Tribolium castaneum: one gene and its partner. The protein of the gene in region 1 purifies or fractionates together with the protein of each later gene. This does not show direct contact. Links are inferred from orthologs where the notes say so. Each region holds a gene or a part of one and is shown on either strand. Other genes may lie near its edges. The genes, in order: Abp1 and Neurl4.

Region 1 (8,843 bases):
TGTGCTTTATTAAGACTTTATGTGCTTTTGGTCGGAGAGTTCTACGCATTCAACAAATTTTACGGTATCTGGAGCAATTGTTGAGAAGTGTTAGACAGATTCAGTGTGTAAACTTTCATTGTTATCACCAGAGAAAACGAAAAACCGAGATTCGTGAAACAATTCGAATCCCCAGAGGGTTCGTTAAGAATTTGCCGACAAACAAAATCACCATTAGCATAATTCTTAATTTGGTTCAGTTTTAAAATTCTACGAAACTGCACTCAACTTTGATTTATCTTGAAGATTTAAACGGGGCTGTTGTGGAGTTGCCTGCTTTATTGGAATTCCTTTCTTAATTAAATAGCATAAATTTTCGGACTAATCGAGAACATAATGTATTAATTATTTGCTGCTTAATTTAAAACCCGCCGTCTGATTACATCACCAAAAAACACACTGATAAAGTCACACAAAATTTTATTGCAACCAGTTTTTGTAAAGCAAAATTTTCTAGTAATTAATTTAATAACTGTTGCAAGTAAAAATCGACTATTTGCTAAAACTGCAAGATATTCTGAGTTTTTCTGTGGCAAATTTGTCACAGGCGACTTTGCACTGATTTTTTATAACAAAAAGTTAAATAATTCCGAAACGAAAAGAGAATTTACAAAGTTACATAGTTTCTTGAGTAGAAAAAACTACTAGTTATGCAAAAATATATAGTGTACCATTTAAAAAAATATAACTTTGGTTCACCACGCTGTATACAACACTCTATTTTTAGTTTGTGGACTTTAAGTCGATCTATCGGATAATGAAAACAGCATGGCAATAATTTAAGTAACAAAAAAGTTATATAAACCGATTACGCACCCCTGGGTCACCCTGTAGATCAAACTCGTAAACAACGAAATCCATGCTTACAACAGCGGAAGCACGAACAACTAGTAACTAGTATAATTAAGAGTCTATTTACCATTATAATTTTAATTACATAACAAAATAATCAAGAAACAGTCAAAAATGTGTGGTAATTTCCAACGTTCTATAAGTAACACCATAGTGTTTAAAAAAAGTTTCTTCATACGAAAATACCAACTAAATATACTTCTAATGACATTTAGCTGCCTACGTTTAATTTCTGTGTTGATCCTATCACACGTTTCATAAAACGTATCGCTAAAAATGTTAGAATAAATAATTCATTTGCATATTTTTGAAATATGTCGGATCAAATTTACACAAAATTGGAAATAATAATACTATTGATGAAGCAGAAAATAAATTAATTTAAATGATAGTGTATTTAAATTATAGGGCATTCATTACCACCTACGCATTTTGTAATTTTTCGTGGCGTACTTTGAACTGATAAAATATTGACGTAATTATTAAATAATGTTTGATCAGTCTCATTAAATAGTGTCCCATTTGGGAGAATCCTAAATCCCTTCAAGTTTAGTCATTCATAAATAATTTGTCACCTGCGAAACCCGAATTAGTACAAGTTTCGCCAAATATCCGCCAAAGCTTATCGTTTTAGTGGATAGTTATTTTGAATTTTGCAACTGGCGTAAAAACGTGGTATTCACGTTCGATGATGATTACAGCGTGTAAAGCGAACTTGCCATTCAAAAAATCCCCTTTGTTACAAAACTCGTAATTAAATTAATTCCGAGCTGGAATATTCGGGAAGTATAAATTAAATTCGCATTGCAGCAATGCTACAATTGCACAATTAGGAAGTTTTAATCATCTCTCGGAAGGTGTACCATTCTTGTGCTAGGTCAATCCGCCAGGCTAAAATGTTGCCTGTTGCAACTGGAAATAATAAAGGAATCGATTGCACATGTAGTACAATATACACGAAGCGAGCAACTTTATGGCTTTGTCCTGGAACAGTTTCCGAGCAAAATGCTCGTCATCAATATATTCGAAAAGTGCCCCGCTGTTAAGCTGTCAATTCCAAAATTATCGTAACTATGGCGACTTAATCATAATGAAAATAACGTTGCTGGTCAATTCCGGCGATACTCACTGACCAAAGCTTCAGATGCACTGCCACTTTGTTGTACCTCATCTCAACCGTCGTCTTGACTGATTTTGCTAATGCAACAAGCCGATAAATTCAATAAATGAAGCTGCACACTCGACTTGTCCAATCGATAAATTACCATCGAAACTGTTACGTATCACAGCCAGTGGCAATTTACTGATAAGGTCGGGAACGCACATTGGAACCCCATTGCAAATTTGCTGACTCTTTCACTCAAAAACTGAACATTCTTTCCACTGCATTCAAATGCATATTTTCAAATTCCAAGCGAAATAAATCAAGACTGGATGCCAAACGAAATATTTCGTATTTCCGGAAGCAATTTCCCAATAATGACAGAAATTAATGGTAATACGAAACGCATTTTATCAGCGAATTTCATGAATAAAATTACAACCAAATTTCATTAATAACAATAAGATTTTATACGGTTTTAATGTATTCATCAAATTTTATGTGCCGCTGAACTCTAGAAATGAGTGAAATTTTAAAGCTGTTGTCGGCTTCAAATTGAAATGATCGATGAGTGCGTATCTAAAATAAATCACACTGTTTTGTTTCAATCGCTGTAAAATAATAATAATTTATTTGCGAACCGTATACATCACAAATATTTAAAAATTATTTGCGCTTTGAGGGTAAATATCAAAGCTAGTTTAAACGCAATTAAAATAATTAAATAATTTCAGGACGATGCAATAAAACACCCAATTGTAAAAAATTACGTAGCTTTATTATCCATAAATACATACAAGATTACAATCGCTATATACCATATCACAAAGTAAAGATTTATGAAGTGCAAAAGATCATAAGTCTTGGTAAATGTTTATTTGTGCTATGATGCAAGTAAGTCGTACAATATTATAAAATTATTTATCAACAGTTAACTGTTCCATAGAGTTTTTAATTAAAATTTATAATAACAATCATTGAAACGCAATTTTAACAAACAAATTGGGGTTTTAATTTGGTGAAGTTGGCACAGAAGAGCATACCCTAGCTGGCAGTGTGGCAAATCAAAATAAAAAGGCGACAAGCTTTAAAAATAAAAAACACACCGTTCGTAATTTATTAAAACATTAATACTTCACAATTCGTTTTATTGCACAAGAATAATTACAAACGGTGTGTCGATACGTTCCTAAAAATAAAATTTTGGTATTTTTTAGTAAACTTAACCTATTATCGACAAAATATTGCGCTTGAAAAATACTAAATAAATGCGTTATGAGCAATGGAATAAGCGAAGCGACGGTAGAAATACAAATGAAAATTATTGGATCAACTCAACATAATTAGCGGGGAAAAGGCCATAAGTACCATTGGGAGCCAGTCCTTGCCACCATCCCTTGTCAACTTGATCAATATTCGTTATTATGTCGCCTGGATCAAAACTGATCTCGGTATCGTCCACTGGAAAATAAACATTGATTTGAATAACAAGGCGCTAAAATTGATCATTTATTATGAATATGCAGAGTGTAAACAACCAACGAGCTGAAATAAACATTGAGTGTTTTTCTGAAATCGAAATTAATAGTACAGACTGCTTTGTAAACTTTACACAGGATTATATATTATATATTAAATTTTATTAGTCCTGAATAAATTTAAATTTAGCACACGACCCTGAACTTCGTCATTGTAAACAAATATGATAGTATTTGAGGTCAACTCTTTAAAATCCGTTACACTGTTCAAAAACCATTAAGTTTAAGTTAATAAAAATTAACCACAGAGTTCTTTTTACGAATGAAAGAATGAAGAATAATATTAAATATGGAGATAAGTGCCGGCTGAACACTGCAAATTTCCGCACCAACGATTTCAGAAAAAGCTCTACAAATAAAATCGTCTTACCAGCCTGATAATCGTACAACGCTCTAGCCTGCAGTCCAGGTGTGCTAAACTCATATAGATACTCATCAACAAATTGCTGATCTGTAATTTGCTCCACCCGCTCCTCTTGGGGCTCTTCCTTTCTCACTTCAAAGACTTCCTGTGGCGTTGTGGGACTAGTCACACTCTTCTTTTCCACATCTTTTGGTGACCTTTTAATTGTGGAAAACTGATCACTTTCGTCGTCACTCTCCTCCAACTTATTTTCCACACTCAATTGATTTTGTGCTTTCAAAATGGAATTTCTGACCGGTTTTTCGGGCACTTTTTTCTGCCCGGCCACCGTGTGCTGTTCAAACACCGACCGGGCGTCAATCGTTCTTTGTGCTATTAAATCGTGCGCCTCTTGATTTCGCTGTTTTCTCAAAACATCGCTTTGATTAACTCTAGTTGGAAAATCATCGTCGTAGTTCGAACCGGAAACCGACTCCACGGCGGCCTCCTTTTCCGCTTGTTTGATTTGATCAATGTTGTTATTCCTGAGGGACATTTCCGCATCCCGTTTGGCCGCCTCTTCCAATTCCCGCCGCCTTAGCTCTTCCTCGTTCTTCATTCGCTCCATTTCTCTGCGTTTCCGCTCCTCTTCGACCCGTTTCTTCTCTTCTTCCTCCTCTTTGCGCCAAAACTGGTCCCGTTCACGAGCATTGATTTCTTTTATGGGATTGACGCGTTGATAAGTGGTCCCAACGGGACCTGTGGGCTCGATAATCTCGGCTCTGGGGGCTTTGAAACTGTATGCCGAGCCCGATTTTGCGACCTTATCTATGATGAGCTGAGGCTCGACTTCCTCCTCGTTACGAGCGTTGATTGTTAGGTGAGCGCCGGTGAAAAATTTCTCAATGTCGCGTAAGTGGTTGGCGGATATGCCTTTACGCACCGTATTGGCGCCTTCTCCTTGCCAATTGATTAGAACGAACTTAATTAAAGAGGTTTTCGGGTCGTTCACTTTCACAAAGGCGTACATTATTTTTCCGCTGTTTAAGTCTTCCGTTAGTTCCTCGATTCCGTTGGAACCCTTACTCACAAATTTCAAAACGTTGGTTTGACCCTCGTAGGCGAATAGGGCCCTAAAATGCGAGCGAGACACCCATTAGGCAAAACCGCATAAATTATTTAAGGAGTGTATTACCAATCTGTTGGTGTTTTCGCATCAAGCACATCTTTCCAAGCTGATACAAGCTCATCCCGGTATTTGTCTAAATTTATTGACATGATTTTAATTCATTAAAGCCGGAAAATTAAGACAATTCAACAAAGATAACAAATCACACAACCACTTGACGTTTGACATGTGAGAGAAACCACTACCAACGGCACGGTCGGAAATCCCTACATTTGAAAAAACGCGCAATTCCATAACATCCATCAGCATTTTCCGATTGTTTGAAATGTTCTTTGCTCTTTTTGACGATTTAAACGAAAAATTTGTATACGTAAAAACGATACTTACAACAACTGTAAAACGATGAGAAAATGCTTTTAGCATGAATATTAATTTAAACTACATTCGGTTCACTTTCATAAAAACCATTGTGGTGGAAATTGAGTTTATCCACCAAAAAACTTCAAATAATCACTTTTCTTAAACTGCTTACCAACATAATATAGTCAATTACGGTCTCGTTATATAATCAAATCATATGCCATATCCAGGTCAATATATGCCATATGAACCTCATCTCCATATGAGGTTCAATAATTATGCACCAAATAAAATTTATGATTATCTAAGTAAGTGGAAATATTTTGAAATAATGTGTATTTCTAATCAACATGTCTCCTTTTCCATGACATTTTAAAAAAAAAATTGTTTCCGAAATTACTAAAATTTTACTTACAAATGTTTACTAAATACTATTATAAAACGTTACTGGCGTTTTTTAAGTAAATATTATAACGAAGAAGACAACTGGTGCAGCTTTAGATTCACCACGACTTGGTGTAGTTACTATGAAGTAAAAACTACCTTACAGTAAATTTTCAAATAAGATTTACGTTTTAAAGACACCTGCTTTTTACTTACTTAATGGTTTAAGTCATTGAAGTCAAATATAATGATTTATTTACCTCCACATTACTATTGATTATTTAATTAAACTTTACATTACTTTAAAGTTGTAAAAAAAATAAAATCAGTTAAAAATCCTAAGTTTTAGTCTTTGCAATTTAAGCTAATTGGGTACTTTATTATCCACCAAAACATTTCTTAAATTGCTAACCGATGTTTTTTATGCTTGTAAAAATTATGTAACAAAATTTCCTGCACTTTATTTTTATTTATTTCAAACAATCAATCAAATACTTATCTTTAACAATAATAAAACTTTTATATATTTTTTAATGACAAACAAAACAATTATAAGATAGGTATCAAAGTGTTTATTGCCAATTTTATCTTTTCATAAACCTGATCCACTTGACATCACCCAAACAACTTCAACCTCTATTTTCATTTAATTCCCCCTTCAAGGCGGTGAACATTTTGCTCTCTTGTCCAGTTCCAAGTAGTTCCCCCGAGTAACAACAACGATGGCTCTCACTTGCATCGACCACGAAAAATTATACGCTAAAGACGCCAACGTGAAGCGTGAAGACGTCAGAATCATCCAAGAATGGCTGAAAAAACAGCCCCATTTGCCAATGCTCGAAGGTCAGTTTGATTTTATTTGCGCTTTTTCCTCAAGTAACATTTCCAGAAATGCAAATAATCATGGCCCTTCATAGCTGCTACTATCGAATTGAAGCGGCCAAAATTACCATTGACAATTATTTCACCATTCGAGATGTTTGTCCGGAGTTATTTGAGAGTTTAGATCGAGATGGTATTAAAAGGGTTTCCAGTGCTTTGTATACCTATTTCAAACGCTCATTAACGTCACAAATAAATCGGGGAATTACAGGTTTGCGAATGTTCTCACGAAAAAAACTCCCGAAGGATATGGTATCCTAATGTTGCGACTTTTCGATGACAAACCCGAAGTTTTCAACTGTGCCACTTTTCTCAATTACATAGTTATGGTTGCGACTTTGCACTTGCATCAGAACGGTTTCCTAAACGGAGCTATGGCAATTTTTGATATGAAGGGTTTTGGCTTGGGGCATGCAGCCAGACTCAACTTAAATGTGATCAAACATGCACTAAGTTTCGTTCAGGTATATATTATAACCAACTTTAAGATTTGTGTACCTAACGATTGTTTCAGGATGCACTACCCGTTAGGATAAAAGGAGTGCATGTTATCAATGCTCTTCCTCTGGCTGATAAAGTTTTGGCCATGTTGAAGCCCTTTATCAAAAGTGACCTGTACAATATGGTACTGTAAAAACGTAAAATGGCCTTGTTTTCGCAACTGCTGGCTTTTTCAGATACAATTCCATCCTCCGGGATCCGAAACCTTGTATAAACACGTACCGAAAGAATGTTTACCGGAAGAATACGGGGGCCAGCTTTCCTCAATGCAAACCTTGAATGGTAAGATTTTTTCAGCGAACGAAACGAGTTTCAAGTTTTTTTTGACAGAAAAAAGCGTAAACAATATGTTGGACCACCTCGACTTCTATAAATGGCACGATGGGCAAAAAATCGACGAATCCAAAAGAATTGGTAAATCGAAATTTGCAAGCGATTTTGGTGTTGATGGAACTTTTAAAAGACTTGATGAAATCGACTAATACGCACAAATGTGCAAGTTTTATTTTATTACCAATTTGAAAAAAAAAAGAAAATAATTAGGTATTCTGTTGGGTATTTGTGAACTTGGATTTTTATAACACAAACCTTGACATAACAATAAACATGTTTTATGTGAGCATTATCTTTCTTTGATATTACTCTAATTATTTTTTTAATTAGCTCTTTGCCTTCCTTAATTACACGTGAGGGCGAAAGTGTAATTGATAGGTAGCAGACCTTGAATTATTGCATTTTGACACTGAAAACCTATGGCCAAATTATTACCACTAAAGGTCACCCAGGTAAGTTAATTAAGAGGAAACTAAATTAATCCAAAATTAAGTTAAGTATATAAATTATTCATAAACTTAAATTAGAAAAAGTGTTCAAATATTTGGGTTGGTTTGTTTACTATGGATAACTACCAAACAAACTCACAAAAAATATAAATAAGCAAAACCAACGCTTCAGAAAAAACTTATTTTTACTTTTAAAACAAATTCAGCACTCCTTCATGAAAATCCTTCTAACTTAGTTTTACGAGTTAGATATTCAAACGATATTTACATTTTAAAGAATGTAGTACGTTTTGTGCATAATAATTTTGAAAGCATAGATTTTACATTTCAAAAGTAACAGCACCGTATGTATTTATTTCCACTTTTCCAGCATTCAAATATGAAATAATTCTCATGTCATGTTTCTGGTATTGTAAGTTTTTGTGTTAATTTTGCTTTAATGACATTTTTTTCGAATTCATTATAGTGTCATTTTCCAATTAAAATGCACTATTATGTAATTGGGCGCTCAAATGCACACATTATCATATTTATTTTGTAAAAAAATTGAAATTGCGACCACACAACTAATTTTCTCTAATAAGTTACACAATTAGCATTTCTTAATTAATGAACTTTATAAATTATTCTATTAGGTTCTCGAAAAAAGCTCTATTCAAAAATGCCAGCAGGGATCAATCTTGCATTAAAAATGACTATGCAGATTTTAAAAACTTCCACACGTGTGGAAAACTTCAATTAAAAAGGCAGGTTTTGCTGAAATACGTCACTGTTTCTGAACTTTGTTTAGCAAAATTTGAAAAAAAAAACTCATTTCTTTTGTTGAACCTTGAATACAAAAAGAGTCGCTTTTCTTCTTTTTTATTCTTTTATATAGTGGATTTCCTTGGCTCTAAATTTGCCATCAGGATCCAGTATGTCGCAGACGCAA
Region 2 (8,843 bases), on another chromosome or scaffold:
AATGTGATATGTAGAAATATTGGCCTATTTTCTAGCTTATCTAACAGATTATAACTAAATGTAAATACTTTTTGAAGAGAAAATAATGTGGGGAAGACTACATATTTTTGAATACGAAAAATGACATTCCATCGTGGGTGTGCACTATCATAATTATTTTTTTAATTTTATTTTTAACCAAAGTATACACTGACTGGAACCGAACTGGCTTGAAATTTCATTTACAACCTGTTTACTTTATAATCACTTGTAGAATATTGTAAAGTGAGGAAATGTATATAAATATGCGAAGCGAATTATTAAATTATTACAAGTAAAACAAGTTGTTTTATTTCTTAAAACGACCTCAACAACGTTTCTGTTTTTAATGCTTGCTTACGTGTCCAGAATATATCAATAAATAAATTTTTCTATTTTCATACTTTACAATTCAATTATTTAAAAAACTGGTCAAAAAACGGCCAAGGTTTGTTACCCAATTCCGGAAGTTTCCTTTGTTGCGGGAAAAATTTATCCTTCTCATTCTCATCTAAGTTTACCAGATTTTCAATAATTTCTTCTTTACCTTCTTTATCTCTACGTTTTGTAATGGTATATTCTTTATCAGCTACTTTTCGCGTGATGGTCGTTTCTTCATTACCCTCGTTATCCCTCACAGTATGATGCGTTTCAATAGACTAAAATATGAATAGATTGATATTAAATTTTTAAAATCATAACACGCAACCGTACCCCATCTGGATTCCTAACAGTTTTGGAGGTAACACTTTGGCCAAAAAAGCGTGTCCTCGGTACTGGCGTTTGAGAATTTTCACCCTTAAAAACCGATCCCCAATCCCTTATATCCAACCTAAAGTAAATTTTTCAACGGATTAAAACAAAACAAACAAAAATTTTATCGTATACCTGCCGTCAATGTCTTCATCTCTTTTCTCTTCAATTCTCTCCTTGGGTTTCTCAAACCCAGGTTTGAGGAATTGATCCCTTAAAGTCCCAGATTTTGGCGCGCCTTCGTCATCAGGGATTTCCTCAATTTCAAGCTGTGGCAAGTCAAAACTGTGGTTAAAACCATCCCCAAACTCATGAAAACCAAAATTGCGCAACATTTCGCTCATTTGTTGCTCGAAATATTTGTGCATCTCAAAGGGGTCGCTAAACATGCTAAAACTTTGGAACGGCGCCCCAAATCTACAATTAACATCGATAATACTAGAGTTATATCATCGTGTTTCTTTACGTACCCCTCATCTCTACTTGGGGGCTCAGGCCAACTCCTGCAAAGATTACAACTGAAGAAAAGCAATGACACGAGAGATGATTACTTACCTGTCTCGTTCGTCGAATTGGGGGCTCTCCTGTCGTGAGGAAAACCCCAAAAATCTCTTAACTTTGTCGTAGAATTCCATTTTATTATTTAAACATCACACACGATTTTAACTAATGAAATATTCCAGAAACGTCAAGTGTGGCATGCAACCAACAATACATTCGTGATCGTGATAAACATAGCCACACAAATGGACTTCCAAATTCTCGAAATTCGTAAGTCATTCTCACATTCGGGTCTTTCAAACTCGCATAAAAAAATTCCAGTCATTGAAAACCATTTATTCTATTTCTGTTACTCCAAAAACGCCCTGTAGTAGCTTTGCTCCTAAATTTTGCGGGTAGTGTTCCTTATCCGCAACATAGACGTAAGGCAACCGCATGACCCAATAGGCCGATTGGGTCAGTTTGGTGGGCCGTTCCACCGTACTGATGAAAATGGGGGCCCCGGGTGCGGGCTGCACCTAAAACAGCCCCCCTTATCTCTCCAAGGTTCAAACAAGGTACTGAGTTTTGTCAAAGTTTTTACCAAAAAATAACAAAATTTCGAAAAAATTGACAAATTACCTTTGGGTCCAGAGTGCAATGCACTGGAGCCTTGGGGGTAACAACATGCAGTCGCATCAGTTGTGCCAACTTATTGGCACGACACATGCACGGATAATACAAGGGCATATCCGACTCTGCTATTTTATGCCCAGTGTCCTTCACAATGCTCCCCGGCGTGGCCTTGAGAATTTTATCCGGGGCTGCCAACATAAATCTATGTCCCGACGAACACTCATACTCCACTCCAATGAAAACCTTGACCGAAAACTGGGGCGAAGCCCCCGTCGGACGTCCCCGACGCCCCCTCGCCGGGTACTTACTAACCCAATTCATTTTCGCCTTGCTATACACTGTCACGTCCCACGGGAGCAAGTAGTTAGTAGAGTTCAAAAAACCGGGATGGTGCGACTCCGACAGCCCCAAATTGTGGCTGTAAAGCGAGGAGGGGCCGAGGCAGACGAGACTCCAGCTGGAGTAGACCGGGAGGAGGCCAGGGGGCGAACTCAGGGTTAGCATTCCCGGTAAATATTCGGTCGTGCTCGGCTGGCGGACCAGCCCCCTTTCGTTTTCGGGGGTGAGTTCATTGGAGCGGTCGGAGAGGACCGAAAGGGCCTCTTCGGTCTCTTTCAAAGTCGCTGCTTTGTATTCTTTGATCGAGGGTTGGAAAACGGGGAAGGAAATGCGCTCCAATTTCGAGCAAATGCATTCGCGACTGATCGCTTGGTAGAAGAGGTGATTGGCTTGTTTGGCGTTGTAGGGGTCCTCACGCGGGCCGATTTTCCGGCCGCAGTCGCAAACAGCTTAAATAACAGTTTGCATAACGCGGCACAAAAATTACAACCAACCTTTGTAAATAAACCCGCTCATGTGCTCCTGATCTGACTGATGTTTGGGCAATTTGCACGGGTTCCCGGTCATGGAAGCCGCCTCGCACTGCTGTCTCCCGTTCTCCCAATGCGCCTTGCAGTCGGCCTTCAATTTCGTGACGTATTGCTGGAACACAGGGCCTCTGGCCTGAGCGTTAAAGAGGGCCAAGGCCATGCTGAGGCGCCTGTCGTGCTCTGAGTGCGCGTAATGTGGCGGCAAGTTTTCCTGGTACCGCGCTAGCGCCAAAGGCAGGACTTTGAGACACCTCTGTTCGGAAAATCTCGTGTCGGTGCATAGCGACGAGATCAAGCCTTTTTTCATTATCACTTCGTATATGGCCTTGGTGCTCTCAAGCCAATGTTTCAGTATGGGTAACTGTGAAAATTAGTCCAAATTTTTGTTGGAGAATATGGGGAAGTACCTCAAAGTGGGCCGGTTGTGACAACTGATGCCGACTGGAGCTCCCCGTGTCGTTAAAACCCTTAGTCCGGGCCTGTTTTATGTGCACTTGCAAGAATTTCAAAAAGTGGCGTTCGGAGTAAGGCTGGCTGCAAAATGGGGGCTGGACTTGCATAGCGCCGCCAGGCTGGCAATCCTGAATCAAGCCTCTGACGGCATCCCCTAACCGGTCAGTGCTTGGCGCTTCCGTCGATATGTAAACGAATTCCTCATTCATCGGAATTGCAAAAAGCGACGAACTTTAATGAGCGAAAAATAATCAAAAAATTTATGTCACAATATTGCTAAAATACCCATAGGTTGAGATTATCCGTGTCTTTTTCAAAATGTGGTAAATGCGATCTTCAAGGTTGTGTTCAACCTTCTTGATGTTGTATGAGCCCTTCGGGCACTGCTCAAAGTAGAAAATAACACGGGGCGTGCAAAACCGGCCATTGGAAACCCAATCGGGGCTCAAACCGTCAACGTTTTTCAAAACTTCGCTTATTTTATTGAGTTTTTTTTGACTGGAATTATTGCATGAAGACCTATTTTCGTTTAAATTTGCTCCGTGTTACCTTAACGTATCCACAGCCTTGAAATACTGGATCCAGTTTGTATCAAAAGTCCACCCAGGATGAGACAAAATCATAATGTGACTCACGTGAAACAATAGTAAGAGCGCGCGAGCAAAACTACTCTTAATTTCGTCGTTAATTACAAGTAAATCGTCGCACTTTCGTTCATTATTGCACCGCTCAACGAGACTTGAGTAGTGTTTAATTAATAAATCTGTGTCTAAAAGACTGTGGAGGTGGAGATAAATGATCTGGTTTTCCTCATCATAGAAACCCTCAATCGTACACTAAAATTTAAGGCAAATAAAGGCAATTTCGGAAATTAGGGTTCTACTACTTCATCGTCGCTTTTACACCCTGCTGTAAAAACTCGCCCAATTGACTTGGCTTTCATCCCCATTGAGTTGTAAGGGGACTTGCCCATGATTGAGATAATTACGACTTTGTCGCAATTTAAACCACTCACCTCCCTAGAACAGCAGATCTTAGCTACAATATTTGTTTATATACAATTTAGTACAAAAGAGGCTGAAAATCCGGTAAGATAAATGTTTCTTTCATCTTTGTTTTTTGGGGTTAAAACTGATGACAGGATATCGGTGAAAACAACACCAAAAATCATAATAGATAATAGAATCTATGATGAACATTACAGTCGACCAGACAGTCACTGCGCCCATGGAGCTAGCACCATTTCCCCCACCATTCTCGTTTTATACAGCCAAGTTGACACCAGAAAAATAATCGTAAATCATTATAAAAACATCAATAAGCTGTTACGCTGACTTGCATACCACATTTGTAGAACATCTCCTGACCATTCATTTAATTTCTGCATTTCAACAGAAATTCCGATTCATGGGTTGGTAGTTTAAAAATTTGGAACAAACGATCTACTGGGGTAACCTCGGACGGAAAAAAACATAATGATTCACACAACTTTCGGCTTTTTCCAATAATCCTCAATTAGATAAGCTAAACGAAGCATCGCTACTTATCAATCGATAAGAAATTTCTTGTTTGGGTGAGATAAGTTGGCAGCCGTAATGTTTGGCAGTTGACACATGATCGGCTGTTTACAAATGGCCGATGACAGCCCCTTTTTGCTTCAAATTTGAGCCAGCAAACGGGCACACAATGGCATATTTTCACTACCGTTGCGGCGAACGCATTACTTTATTAAACGACAATTGTACGGCGGTGCGCAGCGACAGTGACTTCGACAATGGTTTGGTAATAACGGCCGAACCCCTCGTCAACGATGTCCTTTTCGAAATAAAAATCGACAGAAAAGTACACCATTTCATAGTGATAGTTCAGCGTTTAACTGCTGGTTTCAGGTCAATTCCTGGTCAGGGAGCCTCGAAATTGGCGTGGTTGACTGTGACCCCTTGCATTTCGATTTTCCGGCATGCTCTTCAAAAATACAAGCCACCTCATGGGTACGTTGACCTCTACATGGCCAGTTGGTCATTACTTGGGTTGCAGATCATGTCAGGAATGTCGTTCTTCAAGAGCGGAAATTGTGTAATTGAGAGGTATGGCGCCGATTTGGATAAATTAAATCAGGATGATAGGATAGGTTTAATGCGCACATCTGAGGTATTATGACCCAGACACGAATTTTTGCACACAAGTCCTGTTTAAGGGTGATTTAATTTTCTACGTCAACGGGGAGTCCCAAGGAGTCGCCGCTGAAAACATCCCAAGTATAGTCTATGCCATAGTCGATGTTTACGGCAAATGCGTCCAAGTCAGTATTACTAGTCCCGCCCTCCGGGAACACAACAACGACGACTGCCTCAGCGGCAGTTCGGTCCTGGCCATAGAAAACGATATCTTAAATGTGACCCTAGGGGGCGACTTAAGCGAACTCAGCATGAGCAGTAGTAACAGTCTTGATATCCGTATGGATATGAACGTGAGGTATATTTTTTACATAAATGTGGGGCACCTATTAAAATAGAAAACACAGTCTGAGTCTCCCAGAGGAGTGCCCCCGACCAGATAAGTTACGTTTCCACGATCGTTGCGGCTCATTGGTCAAACTATCAAACGGCAATCGGACAGCTGAACGTCGCCGGCCTTTAGACGAGTTCAACAACGGGGTGGTCATGACCCACCGCCCCCTACGCGACTCGGAGCTGTTCGAAATCCGAATTGACCGCCTCGTCGACAAGTGGAGCGGCAGTATCGAGGTAAAATAGTGCCAAAGCGAGCCAATCGCCAATTGACTGCCTGCAGATGGGCATCACTACGCACAACCCCAGCACGCTGGTATTCCCCGCCACGATGACCAACATGCGCAGCGGCACCATAATGATGTCCGGTTGTGGCATCCTAACGAACGGAAAAGGCACCAGACGCGAGTACGGCGACTTCAACCTCGACGAGTTGAGCGAAGGCGATCGCGTCGGCATGATGCGCAAGCCCGACGGCAATTTACACTACTTCATAAATGGGCTGGACCAGGGGGTGGCCGCCCAACGCGTCCCTTCCACCGTTTGGGGCGTGATCGACCTCTACGGCATGACGATCAAAGTATCGATCGTTGAACGCGACGAAAGAGAAGAGCAGAATCTCATGACGCGTAAAAACACCCGCGACCAACAAATCCCAGTCCCTGATCCCCAACCTCTTCCCGACTACTATGACCGGTTGACCTTTCATCCGAATTGCGGTACGCATGCGCAAGTTATTAATAATGGCAGGACTGCCCATAGGCCGAACGCAGCCGATGATTTTAATAACGGGGTGGTGCTTACGGGGCGGCCTTTAAAAACGGGGGAGTTGTTCGAGGTGAGGCTGGATAGGGTGGTGACGAAGTGGGCGGGGTCGATTGAAATAGGCGTGACGACGCACAGTCCGGTTGATTTGGAGTTCCCGTTTACTATGACGAATGTGAGGTCGGGGACGTGGATGATGACGGGAAGTGGGATTATGCACAATGGGACGATCGTTTTGGAGCAATATGGGGTCAATTTGGACAGGTTGCAAGTGGGGGATCGCGTGGGCGTGGTCAGGAAGGAAAATGGGTTGTTACACTTTTTTGTCAATGGGGTGGATCAAGGGGCGGCCGCTTCGAACGTCCCCGAGAAAGTTTTCGGAGTCATAGGTATCTAACACAATTGAAATATTAAATTCCTCAATTTGTAATTTTTCTAAGATTTATACGGCCAGGCTGTTGAGGCTTCAATCATCGACATGTACGACTATGGATCACCCGATACAATTAACTCGAGTTTATCCAACACAACACTTTACAGGTAGGTGCGTGTCTTGTCTGGAATTGCAGCTAATTTGCGAAACCACCAGTGATTTGAGGTTTCACCACGTTCATGGCAAAAACGCCCGGATTGTGAACGGGGGCTTGACCGCGTTAAGGCCTCGCCCCCTTTCGGAATTCAATGATGCTATTGTGTTTTCGAGTCGGCCGCTTCGCGACGGCGAACTTTTCGAGGTTTGTCTCGACAATATCGTCGATCGGTGGTCGGGAAGCATCGAATTAGGTCAGTACGGCCGACATTATTACCCAGTAAGTAATAAATCGTCCTAAAGGTGTGACCGCCGTTCGCCCCGACGATATCGAGCTTCCGGGCACCGCCACCGACCTCTGTCGCGACACCTGGATGCTCAGCGGATCCTCCATTATGGAAAATGGCACCACGGTCAAAAACAACTACCCCTGCGACTTGGACACTCTCGACGCTGGCGTTCGAATTGGAGTCGTGCGTTCAAGCGACAAAACTTTGGAGTTTTACAGAGACGGTGTCCCCCAAGGACCCGCCTGTATTGTCCCCCACAGTACGGTATATGCCGTTGTCGATCTCTACGGGCAATGTGCCCAAGTTAGCATTCCTTGTGTCTCCCCACTTGTTCCTATTCCCACAAATTTAGATAACTGTCCCCGGTCGGACACTTCCATTAGTTTGCAAGCGGTTAGTGTAGTCCAACCGGCGGTTCAAACCGATCTACATATCTTCTCTGATTGTCACGGCAAAGGCGTGTGTTTGAGTGACGGTGGCCGATTGGCCAAACGCACGAAAGATTTAACCGGGGCGGTGGTATGTAGCGCCACAACGCTCGAAAGGGAGGAGCTATTCGAGGTCACTATAGTTTCATTGGTCGAGCATTTGGCCGGAAGTATAGTCATAGGCGTGTCGGAAACACCTCCCGGGAAATCCAACATTAATATCTTCGAACAATGTTGTTACATCACCGGGAACGAACTCAGATTTAGAAACAAAACAATTCAGTTATTTACTCCGAGCTTGCATTGGCTGAACGTCGGGGACCGAATCGGGTTACTCCGAACGCTCGATGGCGCTTTAAAAATTTTCATAAACAGTGAAGAATTAAACTTGTGTTTGCCCCCTCTCCCTGAGACTTTATACGTGGTTGTAGACCTGAAAGGGTCGTGTAATGCCGTCGCCGTGACCAGTCACAAGTCACCCTTGTGGTCCCTAAACAGCGCACGGTTGCAAGACAGTCTCGAACTTTGCAACCAAGAACAAATCGAACTGGTCAGAGATCCGGACGTGTCAACAATTTACGAATTTCACGACAACCACGGACGAAATATCGAGATTGTTGAGGGTCGTACGACTGCGAGACGTGTCGCTTCATATAATCAGGGCGTGGTGATCGCTCAGCCCGCCCTCGAGATCAGCTCAAAGGTCCAGATCATAATCGACCAACTGGAGACGCGATGGCAATCGTCGATTATCGTGGGCGTGGTTTCGGGACCACCTGAACGTTTGAATCTACCTGTCAATGCACTGGCGTTCAAAGCACCGTGTTGCATTGTCGCAAACGATTGGATTTCGGTGAACGGGGTCAAGTCACGTTCGAACTTCGGCCAACGTTTGAGTAATTTACAAGTTGGCGATACTGTGGGTGTTATGTTGACCCTTTCCGGGTTGAAGTTGTTAGTGAATGGGATTGAGGAGGAAGCTTTGTCTTTTGTTTTTCAAACGGGGCAAGCCATTTACGCTGTTTTTGATCTCTACGGGCAGTGCCAACAGGTAAAGGTGCGTTTGTTGATTCGTGGTGAAGCAATTGATTGCAGATTAAAATCTTGAATGA

The links.
Region 2: the proteins of Abp1 (region 1) and Neurl4 purify together in Homo sapiens (co-immunoprecipitation; 4 studies listed by BioGRID and IntAct, counting the BioPlex papers as one, with this or other methods). This does not show direct contact. The link is inferred for Tribolium castaneum from reciprocal best matches to the Homo sapiens genes DBNL and NEURL4.

What each region holds. Positions count from the first base shown.
Region 1 is NC_087394.1:35,487,642-35,496,484, reverse strand, and holds Abp1 (drebrin-like protein), read right to left. Parts: upstream 5,255-8,843; 5' UTR 5,153-5,254; coding exon 5,070-5,152; intron 5,008-5,069; coding exon 3,902-5,007; intron 3,455-3,901; coding exon 3,315-3,454; 3' UTR 2,750-3,314; downstream 1-2,749. Other genes in the region: alpha-tocopherol transfer protein, read left to right, coding at 6,470-6,590, 6,637-6,787, 6,841-7,093, 7,144-7,254, 7,307-7,412, 7,461-7,612. UniProt on the Homo sapiens protein: Adapter protein that binds F-actin and DNM1, and thereby plays a role in receptor-mediated endocytosis.
Region 2 is NC_087398.1:5,350,504-5,359,346, reverse strand, and holds the start of Neurl4 (neuralized-like protein 4), read left to right. Parts: upstream 1-4,553; 5' UTR 4,554-4,847; coding exon 4,848-5,051; intron 5,052-5,098; coding exon 5,099-5,200; intron 5,201-5,246; coding exon 5,247-5,360; intron 5,361-5,406; coding exon 5,407-5,684; intron 5,685-5,733; coding exon 5,734-5,956; intron 5,957-6,002; coding exon 6,003-6,873; intron 6,874-6,924; coding exon 6,925-7,024; intron 7,025-7,073; coding exon 7,074-7,267; intron 7,268-7,316; coding exon 7,317-8,782; intron 8,783-8,826; coding exon 8,827-8,843. Other genes in the region: HCLS1-associated protein X-1, read right to left, coding at 435-677, 733-850, 907-1,188, 1,242-1,274, 1,327-1,406; nonsense-mediated mRNA decay factor SMG8, read right to left, coding at 1,608-1,790, 1,894-2,675, 2,721-3,117, 3,164-3,440, 3,495-3,707, 3,759-4,045, 4,096-4,228, 4,279-4,319. UniProt on the Homo sapiens protein: Promotes CCP110 ubiquitination and proteasome-dependent degradation. By counteracting accumulation of CP110, maintains normal centriolar homeostasis and preventing formation of ectopic microtubular organizing centers.